2 linked regions of the Oreochromis niloticus genome follow. The protein of the gene in region 1 interacts with the protein of each later gene in a biochemical or structural test. Links are inferred from orthologs where the notes say so. Each region holds a gene or a part of one and is shown in the gene's direction. Other genes may lie near its edges.

Region 1 (7,680 bases):
CGTGCTATAATTCAAGGACTGAGCTGCAAGACATTCGTCATTGCTTTTAATGTGAATATAATTAAAGACAATTGTAACACATGCACCACCCTTGGCCATCTTCTCTAGTTTCACATAAAAATAACTGCGTGTATTTGAACATCACACATACCTACCAAAATAAGTGCCAAGAGCTCAGTCCATTTGTGTTACTGTGCTCTTGTCAGAAAATAAATGTTTAGCTTGGGAAAGCATATCATTTACACTTTATCTTGGAGAAAATGAACCTCAGACGCCCACACAAAGAAGCCTCAAATGGATGTAGTACTCTCTCACTCTGCCTCAGCTTTTCATTGTTCTGTGCCGCGCTGCTGTGCTGCACAATTTGGTACTTACAGGTTTTGTGTGGGAAGGTCAGCTGCTGAAATGCAGAGATAGGTCATCTCCTGGTGGACAGAGTATACTAGTCAAATGTCACGTTCTCCTAAATATTTAACACAGATCAGCTAACAGAATGAAGAATATAATAAATGTCACCATCACACCAACACACTCAGTGATTCACGATGTGTGTTGCTTATGGTGAGGGCAGGCTGTGTAACTAAAGCTGATTAGCCACTATACTAAAAACGCCAGCCTAATTGTTCTGTTGTCCCATTAAATTAGCTCTGAGCTGTCAGGTCATGGACGGGGGACCTCTTTGGTGTCCTGCGGCAACCTCAGGCTATCAGGTTTCTTCCAACTTATCCCGATCTTGGAAGTTTAGAAACCAGGACAAGACCGACCGCGGGCTCTCTGTTGCATTTCTCTCTTTGTAAATGGTTTGTGCTCTCTATCCCTGCTGTTCAGGAGGTACCATTGGCAGGGTGGGGGGTGTCTCTACATGTTAAAGCGTCAAAATTAATAATCCAGAAAAAAATAATAATGAAGAGAGACTGCATAGTCCGAGCTGGTTGAGACAAGAACAACCGCCTACTCTGAAACCCACGCAGGCACACAACTCAGCACACTGATAAACCAACTGCTGTTGACTGGCATTTTACATGATACTCTAAAGAATCACATGAGTAAAAAAAAGTCCCCTGTGTATGTTTTACTCGCACGGAAACGAGAGCTGTTTGCTCAAGGAAAAGAGCCACTGATACACAGTGCTTCCTGAACAACCTGACAGACCGGGTCGACTGTGGAGGGTGTCTGACTGCTCTCAGCCAATCAATCTGCTCCGCTTGTTTGCTTGATGACTCTACTTAAAAATTTATTAGAAATTCAATATGTGTACCTCTATGATTCACCTGGGTGCTGAGACATTATAAGACAAAGAGAGCTTCTCACCTGGAGGATAGGAGCTGCACTGTCATGAATGGACAGGATGTGTGTAATGTTGTTTCTGGCTAACTGTTCTCTGTCCCTTGCATCTGACAGAAACACATAACAGCACAGTCGAACAGCGTTATTATATCTGCACACATATAAGAAGTCAATCAATACTAATAATAATAACAATAACAATAATAATAATAATAATAAAGAGAAAATGAGACACACCTTTGAAATTTCCCAGGTATAAATCAGGAAGGACCTATAAGGAAAAAGAATACTGATTGCTATATCAAAAGTAATCATTGATACTGAGGTGGTGCAAACTGATTAAAGACCAATCAGCTATAAAGATAAATGAAACCCTGGCAATATGAAGGTATAATTACAAACGGTGTCCTTTGACGATCTGAATAGATACATATTCAGCCACTAAATGATAATAACTAAAAAAATAATAATAACTATGCCAAAATAATTCAAGTTTGATCACTGAACTAGGCAATGATTAAGTATTCTAACAGCTATACTACATTTCCTAATACTGCAAAGTTAACGAGCAACCAAACTTTTTATTCTATGAAATATCCTAAAATGATAAACACATTTCCTTAAAACACTGAGGACCACTCACACAACAACTCCAACCTGAGGAGCACGGAAGAGAGGATAATCGTACCTTATTGATGCCATTACCCATGCTGAAAGACCCGCCTCACTGGAGAAGAGTTGAAAGAAATGCCCCACGCCGCAGCCTCGGTGCTGGAAAACGCGTATCCGGCGTCTCGATGCCTTCCCAAACCGGCTGAAGGGGAGCAAACGCAGTTGGTCTGCGTGCGAGCGAGCCGAGCACTGCTGCCCGAGGTTCCCGAGGTGGATGCTGGGAGCTGTAGTTTCCTAACGCAAAGGGCGTTGCAGACCTGTAGTAGATGTGTGTGGAGGAGTTAAACAGCCCCACATAAAAAATATAATTAAAGAGATCAACGAAAGGCTCAGTAATTTAATCAATATCGATCATGTTGCATGAAAAAAATGACATTAAAAAGTAATTTGGTTTTGTCTCTCTTGTTAATAATAAAGGCAGTCACAAAATGTATACATATATATATATATATATATATATATATATATATATACACACACAACAATAACAACACAGCCTTTTTGATGCTTTGCAGCCAGGACAAACAGGAAACAAGGCTATGAGTCAAGTACAGAATGGATCTTCTCACCTTCAACCAAAACCTCACAAAATACCTGACTTTATTTCCTTTGATGTCATAATAATAACACAGTGCAATAACACTGAAGATAGCTGTTTCTAAAAAAGCAAAACACAAAGTATTCACAGGTTTGTTTGTTCTGTTCCATACAGACGACCCAGTCTGGATGCCATCACCACCACCAGCAAAATGATGGCACCTGTGGAAAGGCTTTTCAAGCAGGAGAAAACAGGAAACAGATCTGCAAGCTGAATGTGTCTTATCACCCTCAACCAAGAGAACCTTGACTTTATTCCTTTTATCTAACAGGTTGAAATAACTAAAATAGATTGAAAACACAGCAAAAACCACTGTTTGCAACAAAGTGAGTTATAAAATATTTACTGATTTATTTATGTACTGTTTCCCCTCCTACAGACCAGCCAGTGTGGATGCCCTCTCCACCAACAACACAACTTTTATTGTGACACCTCTGGAAAGGCTCTTTCCAGAGGCTTATCCAAATGATTTTCCAAACAACATATGAAGGCACGTTTTGTTAGAAAAAACAACAACTTTAATCTATGCTGCAGACATAATCAACTAGATGCATTCTGGCAGTTAACCAGTCTGAACAGAAATAGAGTGTGACTGCTAAAGGAGGCACTGAGAAACCAACGACAAGTACGGGACTCTACAGTGCTGCTATTACAGAGAAATGATGGCATATGTCAGATCTCTACTGATAATTACTGTGATAAAGACATCAACAGGAAGTGCTGCTACCCACTGCCCAACATTGACAGCACATTTACACCGCAGACACCAGTTCACTTAACTTCCTGGTAATGCGTTGTTTTGCTATGTGGGGCAGCTTGTGACCGCCAGCCTCTACTCTACAGCTTGAATGGGAGGAAAGCATCTGCGACAGAGATGTGATGCACTTACTACACAGAGTAATGCAAGCTGGTTATCAGTCCACCCATCCGGTTTATGCATGAGGGTATGTATACTTTTCCCCTAGTTTTATTGCTTTTAAGAGCTCTGCACACTGGTGAATGTACTCTAATAGTAATCAATCAATCTAAAATGTTACTTGGATTCACAAGAAAACTGGGCAAGAGACAACATTAGATATTTGTATCACTTCTTGTAGTTTTGCCATAAAGTAACTTGAGTTTATACAGATAGTCAACACACTAATGGACCTAGACCCATTTGTAAACTGCCAAAACTGAATGAGGACGCTGCCCCGATACTGTGCCACTAAACAAGGTCATCTATGTGAATCTCCAAGCAGTCATAAGTAGGTGGAATTTAAGCTTGAATTCAGTAATTTCACTCACCAGTTTGGTTTTTGTCTTTTAATTGTTGGTAAGAGCACTCCATTTCTCATCAACTGCTATATAACCTGAAGGTTACCACCAATAAATGTAATTAACAGAAAAAAAGTAGAAGAAAAAAACTTGCAAGCCAATAAAATGGAGACAATATGAGCCAGGTAAATATGATACTGCTTTGATGTGGCTTTGGTGTGCAAAAGGAGGAATTTATAGTGTGGGCGTTCACAGATAGGCTGCCCAAAATGTAGGCCTACTTGTAGTACATCGCCCACATTGTCAGTGGCTACAATTCAGGTGGTTTCCCGCTCTAGTTTCGCATAAATGTTCAATTTATCAATGAACTTGGGTTTTTTTTCAGTCAGTGCGTCATTTTAATTACTCCATCATATTAACTTGTTTTTTGGATTTTTTTGTTATTACTTTAAAAAACAGAAGCAAACAAACAAAAGAAAACGTCAAAGTCCTCATCTTAACTTAGCTTAGCTTACATCTTAATTTTTTAATTCGATGAGAACGTTTTTTCCCCTCTTATGACAGCTGCCGTTTAGATCCAGCTAGAACGATTCAACTGTGTCACCATCATGAAATATGAACAGGCCTCCCCTGCTAACAGTTTCACCACTAGGTGGCGCCAACGTCATACTCAATGATTTACAGCCATTGGCAGAAATTGCAGAATGTTGCTCAAAAAACAAAACAAAAAAACAATGTGAACACAACAGATAAGACAAGTAAACGCACAAAGATTTATAAGTTTTTTATCCCGTATTTCTGCTTTGTGTTAAAGGCATCTCCGACAGTACATACCTGAATCTACTAGCAGCCCTGGATTGTTTCTGTCATCGATTTATAAGCCTGTTTGTAGTTTTTTTTTTTTTTATCTTGCGCGTTTCACTTTTGAAGTAGGTCGTCGAGGAAATCCCGGAAATAGAAATAAACTGCTTTACTTGGACTTTTCCAGCACATTTTCGGTAACTGTTTTGTTTGATACTGGAAGTGAATGGGGGTGTTCCCCCTACACTTTTGTTTCCCGAGTAATTAATTTAGTTATGGAAGTGAAGTCAGTTAAAGATGCCGACACTTTGGGATAGCCTGTGCTGTTAGCTGACCTCTGTGACAGTGTTGTGATTGTTACGGATGGTTGATTAGCCGATTCAGTCATTAACCTGTGTCCTGTGCGCTTTGTTACGGCTTTGTTTGAGCTGTAGGTTTTTTGGTTTTTCCGATGTGACACTGTGAATTCTTCCCAGGGATGGCCACCGCGCCTGAGTACTCACTTCACATGAGGTCGACGGATCTCATTATAAAAGAACCCCTGGATTACGGAGGTTTTGGAGAAGTTTACTTATGTTATCATGTGACGCTGGGACAGGTGGTGTTAAAGACTATGTACACTGGACGTCTGCGCAACGAGTAAGTTGTTGTTGTTGTAGTTGTTGTAATGTGTTACTGCATGTGCTACCCAAGGGTATTCCCCTTCGTCCAATGATAACTTGAATCATGTGTCCCGCGAAGTTTTCCACGCAACCAAGCGAGACACTTTTAGAGCGTGCAGAAAGTATAATAACACAAATGAATACACACGGATGTAAATGAATGTACTCGTTATTACGGTTGTCTATACCAAGGTAGTGTGCTGTGAAAAGGGACACTACCTTGGTATTAAGTCCAACCACTTCCTTTTTGCACAAGGAAATAGAGACAGGTTGATTCAGCTCAATGCCGATGAAGTCCAGCATCCGTTTTTTATATCCGCATATATGAATTAATTATTCTATTAATTATTGACTATTTAGTTGTTTAAAAGTTGTGAAGAATATCTGTTCACTTTTTATTTTTTGAGACAACATTTCAAATGTAGTGCGTTGTCCCCTTAACAGTCTGAATATAAATAAATGCAAAATGTATTTATAATTGTATTTATGTATTTATAAATACAAAATATTAACAGTGATTATAAAAAAATGTTGCTGATACTTTTACTTTGTTTGACCTCTCAGCTTATTGTTTGTATCTCAGATGCACTGTGAGGCACATGCCAATCCAAAGTCTTGCCTCAGTACTTTCAATCAGCTCCACCAAATACCCAATTTTTTTTTTTTACACATTTTTTAAAAATGTTGTCTTTATCTTAATCCTTATCAGTATAAAATGATATATTGATTTTTGTAGCACTAGAAACAGAATCACTGCTCTGGCTTGTCTGTATGATTATAAATGGTAACAGAAAGACAGAATTAAAGACTATATTTCTTACTTATCTGTTACTGCACGCCCACACATGCATAAATATCAGAATTGGGTTATTGAAGTCGGTAAGAATATGCTCACATTGTCCCTTTTACTATGCAAAAGCTTTCTCTTATTACATTTAACAAACTTTCCAGGGAGAGTAAAAAATCACTACTGGAGGAGGGAAAGATCATGGCGAGCCTGAACCACGAGCGAGTGGTCAAGTTGCTGGGTGTGATTATGGAGGATCGAGATTGCTCTCTTGTCATGGAACTCATCCCCAGAGGCAACCTACTGGACATGCTGGAGACCGTTAGTAGGCTTAAATCAATAAATACCTGTAATAAACACAGCTTTTGTGGTTTTCATCTATAGCGTGTAACCTTAAAGAGTTCCACTTTTGTCAGTTTATCATGAACTGAAGCATTATTACACTATAATCTCTCTGTTCTTCAGGTCAGTGTGCCAGTATCTATCAAGGGAAGAATCATCTTAGAGATTTTGGAGGGAATGATGTACCTCACAGAAAAGAATGTCATACACAAGGACATCAAGCCGGAAAACATCTTAGTGGACAAGGATTTTCACATCAAGGTACATTACACTCTCTGGGTCATGACACATGTAGGATTCTGTCTGCTGGCATTCACAGTCATGGTGAAGGATTTCTTGTAGATTGCAGATCTTGGTCTGGCCACCTGCCAAACGTGGAGTAAACTCACCAAGGAGGAATCTCGAAGGAAGAGCCGTATGAGGCAATCGACTGGTGTGAGAGGAGCTGGCACACTGAGCTACATGGCCCCGGAGCACCTGGAGAGTATTCATAATCCCTCCACTGAGAAGTCTGACGTGTACAGTTTTGCCATCGTGGTGTGGGTCATTCTCACAGGGGAAGAGCCATATGCAAGTGAGCTGTGATGTCATGACATGCCAAAGTTTGCCAAAGATTACCAGATGCAGCATATCCTCTTACAGCATGTCATTGCAGCCATTTAAAAAAAGCATCTTTTTATGCCCAGATGCCAGGAGTGAAGACCAAATCAGCCAGTGTGTTCGTAACGGTGACCGACCGGCAGAGGATCTTATTCCAGAGGACACGCCTTCTGAAATAATTCAGCTCATGAAAAGATGCTGGGATCACAATCCTCAGGAACGACCGACTTTTAAAGGTTTCCTTTTTGTGTATTTTAAGCAAAATAGCACTCATTGATGGAACCACGTACACTCATCAGCCATTTCATTAGGTACATTTCCCAGAAATTTTGGTCCATATCAACACGATAGGATCACACAGTTGCTGCAGATCTGTCAGCAGCACATCCAAGATGCAAATCTCCTGTTCCACCACATCCAACAAATGCTCTGTCTGACAGATCTGGCAGTTTGAGTGCAGTGAACTCTGTCTGTGGTCTTATGCTGCTCTAACACATCTGCCACAAGACTCGACTTGTTGCGCATTCAGATGAGATGCTCTTCTGTAATGAGTGGTTATGTGAATTACTCTTGCTGTTGAGTAATTGTTGCCTTCCTGTCAGCTCAAAGCAGTCTGCCCATTGTCCTCTGAGGTCTAGTATCAATAGTATACAATACAATAACAATATTTTCTC
Region 2 (7,445 bases), on another chromosome or scaffold:
TTGATTATAATTCAATTTAGGATATACCCCAAATATCTAACCAGTTTTTGTCACCGTCATCGAAGTATTGTCCGTTAGTACTAATGGTACCAATATTAAAAGTTAATATTTGTATATATGGCACTGTTATGTCACTTAGCTGTAACCAGGGCTGGACTGGGACAAAAAATCGGCCGGGCATTTTGACTAGAGACTGGCCCACCAGGATAGAGATTGAAAATGTGACGTCATTCAGGGGTAAAACCGCAAAGGATTCTGGGAACTTGTGGCAAGAGGTACTAGCGCACGCAGGCTTTCAATTGAACTCAGTTACACAGCGATAAAAAGAAACCCAAAAAATGGCAAGAAGCTGTTGTATTATTAACTGCAATAACCGGTCGCATGACAGCCAAGGGAAGCCGACGGGTAAAGAGATCGGGGTTTTTTTTATCGGATGTCGTTGAAGAGAAATTTTTTAAGCCATGTTTCCGAAGTAAGCAGTGGCGTGTCTAGAAAATTTTTGTTGGGGGGGCCAGGTAGGGGCACAGATTTGGAGAAGGGTGGCAGATGTAATTGGCAGATAATGTTAAAAAAAAAAATCTACCAACCGTTAACCATCATTCAATAACCCTGTAAACCTAATAACTGAATTTGCTTTTGACTCTTATTAGAATGAGGTTTTAACCACTACGGTGCAAAGTTTTTAGATACTGCGTTGATGAAGTACAAGAGATACAATCAGTGCTTTGTCAGTGTTTACTCAGCATTCAAGGACAGCAATATTTGCGTAGTATTTTTACTGACATATAGGGCACATATGTTTTGGGCAAAAACATTTTTGAATATTAAAATACAAACATTTTTAACATACAATTGCCAAATTAGCCAATGCAAAACTTTATCTGCCTATTAAAAAAAGAAGATGATCTTCTTACAAACTGGTGTTTGATTTTGAAACAGGGAAAAAGTGGGGTAACAAATGAAAAGACTAACATTTGAATGAAACCTGAAAGCAAGTAAATACTTTCTATGCCGCCTTATGGTAAACTTTGGTAATACTGATGTATAAAGAACAACACTGGCTGATGATGAAATACAGCTGGCATGGTGACACTGCCAGTATTAACCTGCAGGGCTGGACTGGGACAAAAAATTGGGCATTTTGACTACAGACCGGCCCACCAGGTATTAAAGCCTTTGAATGAAAACAAACGCTGTTGTGACAGTGATGTACACTGTCTTGTTGGTATATGTATGATTTCTATCAATTTTACGTCAGATAAAAACTTTGTTCGCAAGATTCAGATAATTATTTAATAAAAGCTAGATATTTTAAATGAGAATAAGTAAGAAAAGTATTTCTTTGTGCCCCCCTTTCCCTGTTAATGCCCTACCTGGCCCCCTGGCATAACTTTGCTAGACCCGCCCCTGCACAGTTACCAGCTGTCAGCTACGTAGAAAAGGATCCTGGTGTTATTTGTCTCTCAGAAACAGTTCATAACTTCCCTTCAACTCATCCATGTCACCTAAAAGGTAAACCTGTTTCTCCATCACCTGTTCAGCTCTGATGATTCAGTAAGGACATCTCCTGGTTTCATCTTCATGTTTCCCTCTCACCACATATCCAAACCGACATCATGACCAGCAGCTTTACAGCTGTGGCTCCAGCAAACATCAGCTGATACTAGAAATTAATATTAAATAAATTCTAACAACAGCTGATCAAGCTTAAACGTGCTGCTGTTGTTTAGCGCGACATCCACTGGTTTCCTCTTTCTGGCGCAAAGTGGGCGATAAACAAACAAAAAAGAAAACCCGATCAGCTGATCATTGATCAGTTTCATGATTGAAGTAGCAACAGGAGAGGGAGGGGGAGAGAATGAGAGAAGAGGAGGCAGCTGTGCAGCAAAGACACAGAATAACTCCAGCTTTGTGTCTTTTTCATTCTAGCTGAAGTTCGGGACAAACTGCGTCTCTTCTCAGCTCAATACAAAACCTGTAATATTGTCTCTGAATGAGGGACCATTTCATTTTTAAGGAGCCGTTGGCAACTCTACTAACTAACCTTATGAATAAAATAAAGTTCACCATCAGTAACATCACAGCATCCACCCAGCTGTATAGAAACTCCATCATGCTAGCTAGTACGCAGTAAGAGTTATTGTAACTGACTGTAAAAAGTCAGCACAACGAAAATAAACTCCACCTAAACTTGGTTTATATCTGACCCAGATAGACTCCAGGTCATAACTTCTTACCTGAAGTTCAGTTCACTTGACAATTGGACTGGCGGCTGCCTCGGGTCTCTCCTCCTCCTGGCTCCCCTTTCCCTCATCCACCTGCTAGCCGCCGTGGAAGCTCCGCCATGCTCGATGGCCAGTCCAGCTATGTTAAACTGTTAATCTTTCGCCGAAAAACTGTTTTCTGTGGTGCTGTCTTTCGTGCTTGGTTCTCCTACCTTTGCTAACATGATGCTCATAGCGCAGAAGCCGATGCTGTATTCTCTTACACTCGGATATCTGAGCTTCACTGTAAAAACATAATCGTACATTTGATATTTCATTGGATTTTATTGTTTTGGCTTCGGGGTGGCCAGTCTGGTTGGGGGGGTGGCCTGTGCCCCCCCAGGCCACCCCGCTGGACACGCCACAGGAAGTAAGAGCCAACGGATGGTCTGGATATACCAAATATAACATCTCAGAACACTCCAGCTCACATGTTAGTCTGCTCCAAGCATTCCCACAAAGGTCAGTGTTTTGTAGTAGTTAATACGTCATTTTTCTTAACATAATTGGTGATATAGGTTACAAGCAAGTCTGGCGCTGAACAGAAATTGTCGCGCTATGCTTCTTTATTTATTGTGCATAAATAGTGAATTGTCCTGACACAATATTGCGTTTCGCTTCTGTTATTACCATGACAAAAACATATACTTTTATTCACAGGATAAAACAGTTGTTTTGTATCACTAATTGTCCAGTGCAATTACAACATACAATATTATTGTCACTGCTACATTTCTGTAATGCGTACCAGAAATTATTTCCACTACTAATTAATTACCGTTGAGCTCAAAGGTTATATTAATAAACGGTTAACGATTGTGTATTTATGAAGACGATTTGTGAGACTGGTAAGCTTACCTTTGTTTGTACGATGGTCTTTTGTTCTACACAGTGCATTTCAAGGTCCTGTACCCATCCGTCGGTAAACTGTACCTGAGCTTGTTGCAGTGACCTGAAGTTACTAAAAACTTCAGGAGTGTATGCACTCACTCCAAGAACCTTATAATTATAAATCTGAGCGTGGTAAAAGTTGGGCAGCACGCTAACGTCCTTTGTCCACTCTGTGTGCTCATAAGGGTCTGACCCTTTCACTCCTTTGATTTTTTCCTCATATCTTTTCTTTGCCTTTTCGTCGAGTCTGTCTTTGTACGGACCGGCATTGTTCTCCTTAGTTTTGTACATTCCTTTTTTGTGCGGCAAAGAAAAACCAAGAAGATATTGGAACCGGAGAATGAACGTTTTGCGGTGCTGCAAAAGCTTGCATTTGATGCGTACTTGGATTGTTTTGCCACGAGTTCCCGGCATGCAATGCGCGAAAGTCACGTGATCTGTCAATCGCCTTTGCATGAAAACAACTGCTTTGATGTACACTGCCTTGTTGGTATATATGTATCAATCTAATAAACTTAAACCTACACCATCCTCCCTATTCTGGATTTTAAACAGTACATAGCGGAAACAAAAAGACTGCTTGGTCGAGTTAACCTCCTGAACTATCTACAACACATGGTAGAAACCTTAAATTAAGATCAAGAACACTAGAGGTGAGACATGATCATTAATTAATATTAAAATTAATAAATGACAGATTTAGTGATATTTTCATAAACACCTCCTTTCCTTTTTTTGTTCTCCATTTTCTTTAGTTCGTCTATAAGATTGCTAAACAAGGGGGAGGGTGCATCCGGCCTCCTCGGCTGTAATTGGTCCAGCCCAGAGTCGATCATGACCAATTGGCCAATCCAACACCTTTCATTATATATACCCTTCCTAAAAAAAAAAAATAAAAAAAAAAATCCATCGGCCCATAAAATCAAAAAATCGCCAGCGGCCCACCGGGCAAATGCCCGGTATGCCCGATGGCCAGTCCAGCTATGGCTGTAACTATTGTGTCTCTGTGTAATTTAGGCATGAAATCAGCAAAATCGATAAAACTGGTCATTTAAGATTTAAGCATGTTAGCTCTTTTAAAGCTTTAAGCCAGTGAGTGACAGTGATTTCAGGCTGGTGCCAAGACAGTGCAGTACATTTAACATTTGAGTTGACTGATTTTATTGGTCTGAGACTTTTAAGTCAGCACCTCATTGCTAGACTGACACAGAAAACCACGTGACTGACCTGACACATTCAATTTTAGCATGTAAGTCAATAAATCAATTATAAAAAGGATAATTTATTGTTCTAAATCCATTTCATGATGGTTTCTGTCAGATAAAATGCTGACATTTTGTAAAAGAAACCACATTTTTGTTTTAGTTAACAGCCCAGTTTATGTTAATGTTTTAGATATAATGGGTAATCCATTTCAGTTAAAATGGGTCACCATTTGAGTTGAGTTTCAGAAGATGTTCTATTAATTCTAATAAATAATGGGATGTGAAACATTTCAAACTAGCAAGACTTAGGGGTTGACAGCCTGAAAGACTTAACTCAGGGTGAAATTTTCCCTCTTATTTCCTGAGCTAACAACACTCGCTTCAGCTTTAACAGATAGCTCAGCCCATGTTAAATACGTTCAGTCCGTTGGAATAATATTACAAACCAGGTACAATATCTTTCTGAAGACAGACAGCTCGTTAATGTAGTTCTAGTTTAATGTCAGTCAACAAGTGCCTAAGATTACTTTGTTGCCTTTTTGGTTTGTTATCCTAGCTAGCCCATTAGCTAAGTCGCTAGCTGTTTAGCGCCAGCTCCCTGACGCTGGTTTAATTACGTTAAATACCCTTACTAACAATTTGTATGTGACTGACAGCTGTGTTGTCTGATACTCTACGCGACTGGAGTGAAAAAGGAGATTGGGTAAGTAAAGTTTCCCATAGTAATACAGCTACATTACCTATCAGATGGGCTTAGTACGGGGGGCATGTTTGATACTGTTTGTTTTTTTTGGGGGAGAAAATAACAAGTTTATAACGTTACCTATAACACAGCTGGTGCGATCTGGTGCTTTTGGCTAAAATTGGCGACTGGCGTTTATACTTTAATTAATCTAGATTTGTGTCGAGTCCATTGCTTCGGTAGTGCAGATGACGTAATGTTTTCCTCCATTCCTGTACGTGAGCTCAAAAATCACTTGCATTTTATCGGTGACTCATGACACAGACGTCTATCGTCAGGTCAGATACCCATCACACACACAAGCTGGACTTGGATTTAAACGTTGTATTAAAGTGAAAATGAAAGTTTGCAGCCTGGGCCGCCTAAATGGCGCTGAGGCCTGGTCTGCCATGTGTCATGTGATGAAGAATGCCGGGAAGGTCATCGGCATATTGATGTTCAATATTAATAACGCTTTAATTAAACAAGAAATGTGTGTATATGTGGTGTAATGTTGATGTTTTTCTGCAGTGATGGTGCAGCCACAACCCGATGGCCCCATGCAGTGGGAGATGTCCGGAGAAGAGAGTGGAGCGACCCTCAGGGTCCCACCAGAGCTTGCAGCCAATGAAGTGGTGACCAGATTGTTAAGTGACAACCAGCAGCTTAGAGGTAAGCGTGTTCACACGAAAAAAAAGGTCACTTAAAAGAATATTGCTGTACTGAGTGATGAGCTCAAACAGCAGACTCAGAAAGAAGAAGGAAGAAAGAAGCAAATCTTGTCCCTTAAAAACCATTTTAGAAGCATATTTGTGTGGTTCATCATTTTAAAGGATTTATCTACATTAACTCTTGAATTCAGTGGTCACTGGGACATACAAACTTTATGCAGAGATAACAAATACTTCAAAGGTTACCGACTTTGCTCCAGGAAGCTTTTTTCCCCCCTAGAAGTTCTGTTTCTATCAGCGTCTTTGCTCTTAAAGTGTCACATCTCATTCTTACAATGTCTCTGGTGTTAGTCACATTTGTATGGTAAGGTGAAGACCCTACAGCATAATAGAGGGAAAACCCCAAAGAGCAGACAATCCCCTATGAGCAAGTATCTGATGATGGTGGTAAGGCAGAACTATCATTTAACAGGAAGAGTCGTCCGATTTGTACATTTGTAAAAACCTCAATCTATTTTCAGATTTCCTAGTGTAATAAAATCTACAGATGTGTGTGCAGATATTAATGGCTGAAAAATAGACAGTTCATGAGTTAGAGATATACTTGTGCCGCTGTAGATGTAAATATCTGTGAGAATGCTTGTCTCTAACTACAGGTCATTTACACACTTGTACACTCATTTCCAGGTCTCAGTTTGCAAGCAAATGTTACTAAAGATTTACCAATTCCTTTATTCACATTTACAAATTAGTAAGCATTTATGGAGACCTAATGATGCATGCAACGAATAAAATAGAACAATTCTTCACACCTGTTTGCAAGGGTTTTGACTACAACAGATACCTCACAAAGCAGCAGGATCCCCCTTTACCTACACCACAAATACAGACAGAAAAGCATAAGCTAGATCAGCAGAAACATGGAGGCGTTTCATTTGCATCACTCAAAGTGTTTGCTGGACACTGGTCACAGTGTCCAGGTGATATTACACCACCATACACACCTTGTGAGTCACAGCACTTTAACTGTGTCCAGTATAAAGTATCGGTATGCTTTCTCTCTCAATATAAGTGCACAAAAAACTACTTTATTAATTTAAGTAATGTGGTGTGTTTACTGGGTACACATTACTGTTTCAAAGGAACATTTAAACAAAGTATTTTTAGTCATTCACTGTTGAGTTTATAGAGTGTAAAGAGGAAGATTTCTATATTCAGTTATACAGCAAACTCTATCTGAAGTTAACTAGAATTAGCTGGCGTTAACCTCTATGTGCTGCAGCTCATGTAAATTACTTCAACTGAGAAATGTTTTTACTGCTAATAAAGTTGAACATTTATTTTGTCAACATTTGTATAATGGTAAACATGACTAACATACACAGTAGCGTAACAGAGGAAGGCAAGGAAAGAGTCAGCAAACTCAGTCTGTATCATTATTTAAACTCTATGCTCATGTTGACATGAGCTACTGTTGTTAGTCAGTTAGGAAAGGGTGTAATAAAAATAAAAGTCATATCTGATTGCATTTCCAAGAACTGAGCAAGAGTTTGTAAAAGTATAATTAGATTTGATGTGGCAGTAGAACAGTGTTTCAGTTAAGCAAATTATTTTTATTAACATTAATTCAAGGAAACCATCAGCAAACTAATTCAGTTATTCAGCAATATCATTAACATGTAGTCGTGTGAAA

What was found. The genes of interacting proteins can lie anywhere in the genome.
Region 2: the proteins of ripk1l (region 1) and ikbkg form a complex in vitro, tested with the Homo sapiens proteins (4 studies listed by BioGRID). The link is inferred for Oreochromis niloticus from reciprocal best matches to the Homo sapiens genes RIPK1 and IKBKG.

The regions. Positions count from the first base shown.
Region 1 is NC_031982.2:17,766,234-17,773,913, reverse strand, and holds the start of ripk1l (receptor-interacting serine/threonine-protein kinase 1), read left to right. Parts: upstream 1-4,654; 5' UTR 4,655-4,812; intron 4,813-5,091; 5' UTR 5,092-5,093; coding exon 5,094-5,254; intron 5,255-6,228; coding exon 6,229-6,385; intron 6,386-6,529; coding exon 6,530-6,667; intron 6,668-6,748; coding exon 6,749-6,980; intron 6,981-7,092; coding exon 7,093-7,242; intron 7,243-7,680. Other genes in the region: dusp22b (dual specificity protein phosphatase 22-B), read right to left, coding at 376-425, 1,312-1,394, 1,525-1,558, 1,976-1,996. UniProt on the Homo sapiens protein: Serine-threonine kinase which is a key regulator of TNF-mediated apoptosis, necroptosis and inflammatory pathways.
Region 2 is NC_031984.2:33,182,501-33,189,945, forward strand, and holds the start of ikbkg (NF-kappa-B essential modulator), read left to right. Parts: upstream 1-4,336; 5' UTR 4,337-4,404; intron 4,405-4,664; exon of another isoform or gene 4,665-5,016; 5' UTR 5,017-5,063; intron 5,064-5,612; 5' UTR 5,613-5,614; coding exon 5,615-5,753; intron 5,754-7,445. UniProt on the Homo sapiens protein: Regulatory subunit of the IKK core complex which phosphorylates inhibitors of NF-kappa-B thus leading to the dissociation of the inhibitor/NF-kappa-B complex and ultimately the degradation of the inhibitor.